3 linked regions of the Kluyveromyces lactis genome follow. The protein of the gene in region 1 interacts with the protein of each later gene in a pairwise test. Links are inferred from orthologs where the notes say so. Each region holds a gene or a part of one and is shown on either strand. Other genes may lie near its edges.

Region 1 (4,116 bases):
CTTATAACCAAAGCACGGCCAATGGCGCAGGATCAGGAGACGTTTGAACCGACAAATGTAGATGCGATGGTGTAACACAGTTGAATCTAAAAACAAATGTACATTAAACTAGTTTAGATGTAGTGGCTTCTTTATATATGAATATATATAAGTGCCTAATCTGTTCACTGAGTGGCTTAATGCGTATGATACAGGGAATGAAAGAAATGGAATTATGATGCACGGTTTGTCTGTGTATGGAAGGGAGTGGATGATATTAAATAGAGAACATGCGAATTGGCTTCTTATTGTGAGATTGGACAGTTCTTCAAGTATTCCGCCTTGTTCTTCAAGATCCTGACCGATTTGAAGAAGATTTCTTCCGGTGTCATAGCACCAGAACTCTCCACGTTAAAGATGAAGTGGTCTCTCACCCTACCCAACTTAACCTTCCCCTGGAACTCATCGTGTCTCAACACCTCTCTGGACACGGTATCCTTCCTTGGATCCTTGATATAAGCTTCACCCTTCTCGTTGACATCTGCGACACCTTTAGGGAAACATTTCACAAATTTCTTGGCATCATCACCGGTGATAGGCTGTGTGATCTGGATGTGTGGTAATAGTCTATAACTAGCTGTCGACACCGGAGAGAACTTGGCATGGTCTGCACCGATACCTAGAATACAATGTGCCCTTAACGAAATCTCTTGACCTGGTCTCAACTTGGCCAACAAGATATCTGGATCCGCTGCCACCACGGGACACTTGGCAAATTGTTCCACCTGTTTCCCCTGAGGCTCAAACTTAAGGTCCCTAGCATAGATATGCGCGTTTCTATAAAGAACCTTGGGGTCTTCACAATCCTTTGGAGCATCTGGGTTCCTGGTACATTTCACGTTCAACGACATCACTATCGTATTTTCATCTGTAAACCTTTCAGATTCGGGCAATGACGTGTCCACCCAACTCAACATATCTGGATCCACCTTCAATGGCACTAACCCGATTCTATGCGCCAACACTTCGTCCTGTAGCACAGACGTATTGTTAAAAAAGTAGACGTATTCTGGAGCGACAGATGGTACTTCTGAGATCATAATACGACGGAAAGCGTTAGCAATCGATGTGTCGACATGAACCAAATCGAAATTCACTTCACGCTCATCCAAACTCTCGATTTGTACGTCAAAAGTTTCCTTGAACTTCTCCAAGTCCCATGAATTGTCTTGATCCGAACTAAATCCAGGGAAATCTGTTGAACTTGTGTTCGTCACACGGTTATATTCAACACCAACGATATTGGACATCCTTTTTCAATTGTATTGCTACGTTTATGCTACCTCTTGAGCTCTCAAACGACCTCAGAAAAGCCCTATGACACTGGTCAAGGTCCGTCTCATCGGTGTAGATACCTCATCTCAAGCTCATCTCATCGCTTTAAAGAACTGAAAAATTTTTGGAAAAGAAAAGATCACATCGTATAGAGTGATTATATATGATTAAAGATTGGTAGAAATGCGATGAGATAGCTACTCGAGAGCAGGTACTAGTCGATTACTGCTCTTTTGACCATCCTCAGTTAGTTCAGTATGTGGTATTTTACAGTTGGATTGTAACTGGATAACCATATTCCCCTGTCTTACTCTTTCACAAGGTGATAATGGACCTTTTAGATGACGAAGATTATGGAAGTGTCAGCGATGAGGAAAGCTTGGATGATGGGTTAAGTGGTGTAACCAGTGGTATAACCAGTGGTATAGCCACAGAATCGGATATTTTACCCTCTCCTAGTGTTAGCAACCTAATATCTGACTTTCACGCGCAATTCTGGCACCAAGGCGCGGATTTAGATGACCTCATCCAACTTGCCAAGCACGAAACTATAATACGAGATGCAACAAACCATACGACAGAGCCTTACAATGTCATAAAACTGGGCCAATTGATGCCTTTATTCGATACAGAGCTTTCCATGGTGTTTCAATGCATTGTAGATACCTACAAGGCCAAGTTCCCTGGGTTGGAAACTATTGTCCCTGAAAGGAAACAATACGTCGACGTGGTCAAGATGCTGCAACAGGATATTCCCAACGTGCAATTAGACCAAGTGCTATCGAAGGAGGAAACCCTTGTGGTATCTATGTCTCTAAAGACAGATTTCAAAGAGGGTGCTCGAATTGATAAGGATCTCCTCTCCAAGGCCATCCATTGGTTCGATATTCTGTACAACTTACGGGACAACGTCTCACACTATGTTGAGACAAGAATACAAATGGTAGCTCCAAACTTATGTGCTTTATTGGGACCTGATACTGCAGCTAAACTGGTAACACATTGTGGTAGTGTTAAAGAACTAAGTGTGGTTCCCAGTTGTAATTTGGCATCCATTGGCCAGGACAAAACGTTGCATGGCAAATCGTTAGATATCTCTGGGGTACGACAAAAGGGATATCTATTCTATACAGACGTGGTACAAACACAGCCTCCTGAGTTCCAGAAACAGGCGCTTAGAATGGTCTCTGCCAAGGTTGCTCTTGCTGCGAGAGCGGATTGCACCATGGGGAATCAAGTCATTAACCCAGATGGGAATTCAGATGGGAACTCAGATGCCTCGAAGCTGGGCTTGAAATGGAGGCATGAAATCGTTGAAAAACTCAAGAAGATAATAGATCCGCCGAATATCAGTAACATCAAGCCGTTGCCGATCCCAGAAGACGCTCCAAAGAAGAAAAGAGCTGGTAGAAGGTTCCGTAAGTACAAAGAACAGTTCAAGATGTCGCATCTAAGGCAAATGCAAAACAGAATGGAGTTCGGTAAAGAGGAACAGACCACCATGGACCCATACGGAGAAGAAATAGGGTTCGGGATGGCCGATTCAAAGAACGTTTCCGCATTGTCCTCTTTCAATAAGACCAAAATGCGTAAATCTATGCGTTTAAGATTAGATCAAGAGACTAAAAACACGCACAGTTTCCTACAGGATGAGAGGTCCGAAAAGCTCAAACGTAGTGCAGAGCACCCACAAGCTACGGACCCCGCCACCAGCAAACAACCACGGTTGTGAGACACCATAGTTCTGCCGTGTACCTTTTATACCCTGTATATGTCTATTCATAGATCTGTAATTACGATTCCTATTATGGCAAAACCAAAACACAAAAAGATGATCCAATGTTCGAATTGAAAACTTTAAACAAAGAACACAACTTAACCATTGAACTTTAGGGTCTCTTATTCGATCAGATCTGCCGATAATTCATTGTGTCAAGTCAGAAGTAACGTGTCTGACCTGAAGCACTAACGGTTTTATTTACATACTTCAATCACACAGTTTAAAATAAGAAATGTTTACAAGAGATGCGAATGGTCGTCACAAGGAGGTCGACGCATTGGTCGACGATATGGTCAATTTCAGTTTTGATACGGATGCTAAAGTTATGCTAGATCCCCCAAGCACTCCAACGAGAATACGTGGTTCTCCGTCTCCTACTAGATCGATAGTAAAAAACCCTGAAAACTCGCTCATGGATATCGACGATGATACTCAGGGAGATTTGACGGCAGACATTACCAAGTCGCCAAAGAAACTACCCAAAGATTTCTATAAGAAGTCCTCAAAGACTAAATCCAAGAGATTGGTTTCCGTGTGTCAGATGTATTTCTTGGATTATTATTGTGATATGTTCGACTATGTGATTAGCAGAAGAGAACGTACCAGACAAGTGATCAACTATTTGGAAGAGCAAAGAAGGTCGAACCTGATGGGTACTGAGCAAATTACCAACGAATGGCAGGGTTATCTGACGAAAGAGACGAATATTCTAAGGAAAAGACGTTTGAAACCGAAACATAAGGATTTCGAAATGATTACACAAGTTGGACAGGGTGGGTATGGACAAGTTTACCTTGCTAGAAAGAAGGATACCAAGGAGATCTGTGCGCTAAAGATCTTGAACAAGAAACTTTTGATGAAACTGGAAGGTACAGACCATGTTTTGACTGAAAGAGACATTTTAACTACGACAAGATCGGAGTGGTTAGTGAAATTGTTGTATGCTTTCCAAGACCCTCAAAGTTTATACCTTGCCATGGAATTTGTGCCAGGTGGTGACTTCAGAACGTTACTGCTCAATA
Region 2 (3,727 bases), on another chromosome or scaffold:
ATAGCTCAAAGCAAACGCCAGTAATAAGATCCCGGTACCGCATCCGTACCAAAGCCCTTTTAATCCCAACTGAAATTTACCAAAAGTTAGCCATCCACTTAAAGGCAATGCGATAAAATAGTATGCTATGATATTTAACAGGCTGCCAACTTGCTGCCGTCCTTGTGCACGTAATATCGCAGCGCTAAAAGTTGTGAATGCATCATATAATTGGTTAACTGCCAAAATTGGAGCGACATGACGATATAACTCAACGACCTCTTTGTCTTTAGTGAACAAATACGCTAAATTCTTGTCACCTGTTAAAATCAAACAACAATTCGCAATCCCTACAAACGCTGCTATCACGTACGACGTATTAATACAGATCTTCGCGTTGTTGACCGATTCTGTCCCAACATAATTAGCAACCCTTGTGGAAACTACGCAACCCATTGCGAATGGGATTTGATATATCAAAGATCCTATGTTCGATACGACTGATTGTGCTGCTATAGCCTTGACACCGAGATATGTAGACATAATAGTCAATACTTCGAAAGAAAGGTACTCTGCTTCAATCATGAGTAAACCAGGAAATGCCAAATTCCACATAGGTTTCCAGCTGCAAAATAATCTTTTAAAGTGGAACATTGAAGAGAACATGGGATACCAACAAATCAGAGTTTCCTTTCTCCAAAATTTGCAATAAACCAGTAGCATTAAGGCCATAAACCAGTGCGATATGGCGATACCTAGAGGAGCACCAGCATATCCAATGTAACGAGTAAATGAATACACTAGAATAATATTAACTGGAACTGTAATCAACAAGGAGTATGTTCCTGCTTGGAAATGGCCCTGTGATTGAAGGAATCTCTTACCAGTTTCGAAAAAAATCAGCCCTGGCAACCCAAACGATATTATTCTCAAGAAAAGTTGTATCTCTGGGAGGATATCCTGTTCAGCAATCACATAACCTAACCATGAAGCACTGAACCACCATGATATAATCACAGGGAAAATACCTGTCATTATCATCGCTGCACAACGGAATGAATATAAACCAACTTTTGCATATTTCTTGGCACCATACGCTTGTGAGCAAAAGGTATCCAAAGAAGTGGCCATACCCTCCACAAATGCTAAACCAGTAATATTGTAAGTCATTACCGCCAAAGATGCGGAAGCTAAGGCATCACTTGATTTACAGACATGACCGATGACAAATAAAGAAATAATAGCCAAAGAGTATTCCATTAGAAAAGTTAATGTAATTAGAGCGGAGTTGCTTAAGATATAGGAGACTTCATTCCTAGAGCTTGTTGGGGCAGTAAGATCCTCTATGAAGTCTTCGTCAATAAAGTCATCGCGATCTGCATCTGGACTCATTAGTCGATATCGATTGTCTATGGCATCGCCAGAAGATGCAGATTCTCCATCACTTTCATATCTAGTATTGTCATTGATTGTATCGTATCGCGGTCTATCCATAGAGTCACAGAGATACTCACTCTCTTGATTCATGTCTAGTTGTTTCAACTAACCTGTAATGCCCTTCTTTATCTTAAAACCAGTTTGAATGTCCATTAACAGTGGAATGAAAAAAACTAATCTCCAGAATTAAAGGTATTAATACCCAAAATGTTGTATTGAGCCAGGCAGTATGGATTGAACGGCCACCGAGCACGTTCCGATGACACGAACCTTTTATTCGTCTTGGTGTACATATAATTGATCCTTATCTACGTTGAAAAAGCACTAGTTTTGATAATCGCTAATAAGAATTTGATTGTGAAATTCTATATTATCGCTTAGCAGATAACTGCGATAGGAACAAAAAAAACAAAAGAATAAGAAAGTACATACCGTCAATTAGGTGCAATGTCATTTCTTCTTCGACCATTGAATGATAGCAGCTCGAACAACTCCAACAACGTTATAAGAATAAGCCCAGAACCATGTTTTGTCGTAAAATCTAAGGTAATAAACCCTGGTACTACATCGCTATCAAGCAATGCAAAGATATTCATCAACATTTGCCATAATGACCAGATACCCTTACCTGAAATCGATTTCAACCCCGCCATAGTATATCCCCTAATAATCAACAACCAATGGGAAATACCAATCGTAACCTCCTCAATAAGGGAGGATGTTGACAAAAAGGGCAACGTCTGCTACGTGAGCGATTGTTGTATAAACACCAAATGCGTTTCATGGATCCAGCATGATTTACAACTAAGAGAAATCGTAGTTGAATGGTGCTTAGAATCCTGTGAATTGCGAGCGGAGCTCGAAATATCAAGGGATAATATAAGTTTCCCTAAGCTGAAGAAGAAAGGTGATACTATACCTGAACTAGAAATACTGCGAGAAGACCTAACAGAGAATTATGAAGAAACCATCAATGATTTGGTAAATAGGGAACAAAAAGAACCTGTTAGTATTATCGAAAAGAGGCGAGACTTTCTTGCAGAAGACGAACCTTCGACGGGTGAACTGCCGCCATTAATTCCTATCGACCAATCTTCCCGTAGAAAACCTTTAATAGAGGAAATCGAGGATCTTTCACTGCATGAAACCAAGAAACCCAAGGTTGAAGAAATACAAAAAAAAAGTATATCATATGAACTTAGTATGGGCAAACCCAAAGACACCTCAGAGTTTCTCTTAAAGATAGAAGTGACCTCGGAGCTTAACTCTAGTCTTGATTACAATATCAAATATGATGCTAAAAGTAATAAACTCATCATAAAGAATACTAATCTAGGTATTTATCCCGAGAAGAAACTCAAGGTTCCATTACCTGATATATTTAATAATCCTCCAAAATTAGAGTGTTTCTTTGTGAAGCCTGAGCGCAGATTAATAATATTTTTATAAAATCTCAATATGGCCGTATATATATATAAATTGATGCAAGATGTTCGATTATCTATATATGCTTTTATTAAAGGGCTACGTGTATGAGAGTTAAACGTAACATGTAAAGTATATTTTCATTCACTTTAGGTTAATGAGGAGGGAATGCTAAATTTTCCCTATGAGCTACGTATTCACTATCAGCATAGCCTAGAATATCTTCAATCTGATCACTTTGCAGACCTTTAATTTTTGATAACTCTGTGCTTGTATAGTTGCAACGAGCCCTACCTACTGTTTTCAGTGCAACGGATTTATCCAAATTTCCATCTGAATCCCTGACTCCCAATTTTATATCTATACATTCATGTTCATGGAAGCTCCCTTGGACTTCAATAACGCCTGCAGGTAACAAACCAGCTTTGTTTTTCCTCGTTAACGCTTCGTATGCACCAATGTCTATAATTACAGCGCCTTGACTGACGAGTCCATGAAGCATCCAGAATTGTCTGTTCTTCAAGTGATGATGATTACTATTGGCAATAAACCTAGTATGAAGAGGAACATGATTATTAACTAAACTTTGCATCTCAGTGAGTTGTAGGTCAGCCAAATCTTGTGTAAGTTCATTCACGCCATCGTCCCTTTCCTGCATGTAGAGAACAATTTTGGAAATGTTTTCTGGAGTGTCGCTCTTCATAATGATGGTATGGACACCAGCATTGGTTGCTAATTCTGCCGCAATAAGCTTAGTCTTCATACCACCAGTTCCAACATCTGATCCAGATCCACCGTCTGTGTTCACACCTGGCAATCCTTGTGATATATCTGGAACAACCAAGATAGGTTTTGCATCGGGATTTGCTCTTGGATTATCAGTGTA
Region 3 (3,861 bases), on another chromosome or scaffold:
AGGGAACAGATCAAGGTGGTCGACGTTTAGGGTGAATAAGGCTAAGGGGAAGAAATTTGGTAGAAAGAGAAGATTTGACTTATATAGTGGTTCATTAGGATTTATGTTGGGTTCCATTGGTACTTTGGGAGTTTTAGCTACTGTTGCAAATTTTGTCGAAGGATAAGTTTGGATTGTTCACCCAGCTGATAAATATCATTGAATGTTCCAACCCACACTCTCATAACAGTTTTTTAGAATGCTTTATTGAAGATATCAAAAGTATATATTTTGTTATTATCTATATTATATGTGATACCTCATGTCTGAAACCCAAATGAAACATATAAATGCTTGAAAACTTGAAGAGAAAAGGTCTTTATAAAGTGAAAATAGGGAAAGGAACTAGAATAGGCATCAATTCGGATTAAAAACTACACTCCCGGAGTGGTCAGTAATCCAACTCATGCAACTGAGAATGGTTGCTTCAAATAATGGAATGTTATCAAATCAAGATGAATCAACTTTTATTGATGAGCCCGCCATGAGCACTGATGGTACACAGAGAATACTACAAGTCAGTTCCCCCAAGATCGATACAGATAATCACAATATAGAGTACGAGAGTATTAAAAGCAAGGATAAGAAGAAACATAAGAAGAGGAAGAGCAAGAGGCATTCTAAAGGAAGACACAAAATGAAATATCGAGTTGACAAACCTCGGTACCACGATGATGCAAAATATGACGCTGATATTGCTGACAATAATAACGGAAAGGCATTGAATAAATTCTTCCCTGGTATCTTAATAGGAACTTTCATTGGTTCAGCTGTCACTAACTTTATATTGGAAGGGTTAAAGTAGTAAGCAAGATTTCCTTTTTCAAACCTCATCAATCGGTCTTTTCCTTGAATGGTTTCGGTATTGAGTATCACGTTGATTGAGTTGCCTATCATACCTCCTATTGGAGCGTCTATTCTGGTCATTCTTGTGATCTTTGCCTCCAAAGAGCACCTCTTTTTCTTCTTCTGTAAGTTCATATTTGAGATAATTGGCATCACCAAGTTCTTTGATGAAATCCAAGATCTTACCGTTTTCCTCTTTTAAGATTCTCTGATGAAGACCTATCGTCAAGTTTGGTTTATAATTAAACCTTTTAACTTGGTTTTGTATATTTTGAATAAAATAGCGCTCCTTTCTAGACTCCTGGAGAGGATTACGATTCAAGTCTTCGTCCTTGACGTTAAACTTTTCTCTGTACATTTCTTTCTTATTTGAAATCTTTATTAACCACATCTTCCTTCTCTCTTCTTTCCATTTTGCGATATCCTCCTCCGTTTTAAGCACTATTGAAGTTCCAGGTATATACAGATCTGATCCTTTGACGGTTTCTATGATATCTTCATCAGCAGAAGCTTCTTCTTCTTCTTCATCTTCTTCTTCTTTCCTTTTATCATCTTCATCACTTGCTATTTTATTCTCAACTAAAGCAGAATTCCTCAAATTGGTATTGGCGAACTTTTTGATAGGACCCTTCTTGGGTACTTCGATTTTGTCGTTTGCCTCTAAATTTGACTGTTGGTGCTCTATCACCTCTTCCTCTTCTTCTTCTTCCTCATCATCATAATTGATCTTGCTTGATTTTGTAACATCCACGTATGGCGGTTGCGCTTGATTAAAACCATACCAGCTCTGTTGATACTGGTGCGGATTCGGATAGAAAGGATGGTGGGTCCCATATCTCATTCCCATTGGTGCATGCTGCATAGCGGGGACACCGTATTGGTTGGGTTGATTCATCTGAGGTATCGGATAATACTGCATTCGCGTGGTTTGTAACGTATGTTGCAAAAGATTATTATTCACAGATCCGCCCTGTGAAGAGTTATTGTACACGTTTTGACCATTCATGTTGCTCGAATACTCTTCCCTGGGGCCTTTCTTCCCATCATATTCATTAATTGAACAGATAGAGATGAGATGAGATGAGATGAGATGAGATGAATAGATAATGAAAAGAAATTTCCTACGTTCACATACATAATGTTCTGGAGAAAGGTGTTGAAGTTTTAAACCGGTAACTGATGCTTCGTAAACCGTGAAACATATTCTGAAATATGTAACAGTCAAACAGGCTCATAAGGGTCCCCGCAAGTCATTCCACTGGTGCTATAGCTTTTACGCAGTGTCATCTATATCACGTGACCTTACTGATATACGTCTTCTTATTACCAATCATAAGAGAGACGGATTTTGACCAAGTTAACCACTGAGAGTAATCAGAAATCTATCCCCCAATATGTCGGCTTATAAGTTGGTGGTTATGCGGCCCCTCCATGTATGTAGTTTTATACCTCTTACTTCCATCAGCTGTGCAGTGGGTAGTCTCTCACCAACGGGTTTACCAGTGAAAATCGTATTGCAGCGGTGAATTTTTCAAGCTTCGAAACCTTGAAGACTTTTAAAGCTCAACAAAAATGTTTAAATGTTTTCAGAAAAGATTTAAAGGTACATTGAAGAACTTCTTGGTACTCGATCTGAGTTATTAGTTGGCCTCTCGTTTTCCCATTCATTCATTGTTATCCTTCTTTTTTTAGTTTGGTTTACGTTAATATTAACTCAGTAAATTATACTTCGGCAACAGTTTATAATCCCTGAATCATGTCCCAACCAGTACAGAGAGCTGCTAGTCAATCTTTGATTTCCAAATACATTAACAAGGAAACTTTAAAGTATGTCTTCACCACACATTTCTGGGGTCCAGTTTCAAACTTCGGTATCCCAATTGCTGCCATCTACGATTTGAAGAAGGATCCGGAGATGATTTCTGGACCTATGACGCTGGCTCTAGTGATGTACTCTGGTGTGTTTATGAGATATTCCCTAGCTGTTACCCCAAGGAACTTCTTGTTATTCGGTTGTCACGTTGTGAATGAAACAGCCCAACTTGTGCAAGGTTACAGATATTTAAACCATCATTATCTAGGTGGCAAGAAAGCTGACGCTACTGACGCCAATGTCGCCAAGACAGCCTAGATGCAAGAGAAAATGTAACCTGCCGACAAAACAACATTCTTTCTCCCATGGCTTAGATTACACTACTGTGTAGGTCTGTTATCTAAGATTTAATGCTAAGTTTATTTACGTACTGTATATTATATGTCTATATGTTCAATTACAGTTTATGAATTCATTTCGAAATGAAAAATAAAGTACTTCTTTCGTTCTTTATTATCAAGAGTCGAACAAACCTTTAGGTCTGTCAGCTTGTGTGGGACCCATGCCATCATCTTCTTCCTGTAGATTGAGATCTTCTTGGATTGCTTGTCTTTTCAAATTATTTAGATAAGCAGCCTTGTTCATTTCTCTTTGATGAGATTCATCTGTACCGACATTGTTCGATTCAATTGTTCCTCCCCATTCGACAGTTGTTCTCATTCTCTTTACTGGCTCGCTAATTGACGGCTCGGTTGTTGTGTTCGATGGTGTTGACTGGGAGCCAGTGTTTGAATTGGGAGTAGTGTTACTATTTTGTTTCCCCCACCTTTTAAACCTGAATTGCCTTCCTTCTTCGTCTTCGTCATCATCATCTGCTCCATCCTCATCCGTTATAAATAGTGAGCGTTTTGTATGTGGATACAGCATCTGCTTACTTTCCGGCCTTTGAAGCTTATCTGGTTTCACTACGGTATCCTTCTTGATTGGTGAAACTATCTTTTCTGGTGACAGGTTAAATTGGGTGACAGAATCCTCTGGTTCTTCGACCCTACCCTCGGTATCAGTTACCTGCACTAATTCCAATACAACCCCATCTTTTGTTATTTCAAAGAGAATGGGGTCACCAGGTTGGCAAAACCAGATTCTTATCATGTCATTTGTTT

Evidence for each region.
Region 2: the proteins of PRP31 (region 1) and PIH1 interact in a two-hybrid assay, tested with the Saccharomyces cerevisiae proteins (2 studies listed by BioGRID). The link is inferred for Kluyveromyces lactis from reciprocal best matches to the Saccharomyces cerevisiae genes PRP31 and PIH1.
Region 3: the proteins of PRP31 (region 1) and RSA1 interact in a two-hybrid assay, tested with the Saccharomyces cerevisiae proteins (2 studies listed by BioGRID). The link is inferred for Kluyveromyces lactis from reciprocal best matches to the Saccharomyces cerevisiae genes PRP31 and RSA1.

What each region holds. Positions count from the first base shown.
Region 1 is NC_006040.1:1,252,739-1,256,854, forward strand, and holds PRP31 (U4/U6-U5 snRNP complex subunit PRP31), read left to right. Parts: upstream 1-1,642; coding exon 1,643-3,046; downstream 3,047-4,116. Other genes in the region: DNA-directed RNA polymerase core subunit RPC40, read right to left, coding at 285-1,289; KLLA0_D14905g (serine/threonine-protein kinase), read left to right, coding at 3,327-4,116. UniProt on the Saccharomyces cerevisiae protein: Promotes the association of the U4/U6.U5 tri-snRNP particle with pre-spliceosomes to form the mature spliceosomal complex.
Region 2 is NC_006039.1:884,169-887,895, reverse strand, and holds PIH1 (Pih1p), read left to right. Parts: upstream 1-1,863; coding exon 1,864-2,865; downstream 2,866-3,727. Other genes in the region: ERC1 (Erc1p), read right to left, coding at 1-1,506; PRO1 (glutamate 5-kinase), read right to left, coding at 2,996-3,727. UniProt on the Saccharomyces cerevisiae protein: Involved in pre-rRNA processing and required for the NOP58-snoRNA interaction.
Region 3 is NC_006041.1:1,720,885-1,724,745, forward strand, and holds RSA1 (Rsa1p), read right to left. Parts: upstream 1,892-3,861; coding exon 863-1,891; downstream 1-862. Other genes in the region: KLLA0_E19295g (uncharacterized protein), read left to right, coding at 1-166; KLLA0_E19317g (uncharacterized protein), read left to right, coding at 446-844; pyruvate transporter MPC1, read left to right, coding at 2,642-3,016; DDC1 (Ddc1p), read right to left, coding at 3,215-3,861. UniProt on the Saccharomyces cerevisiae protein: Involved in a late nucleoplasmic step of 60S ribosomal subunit assembly.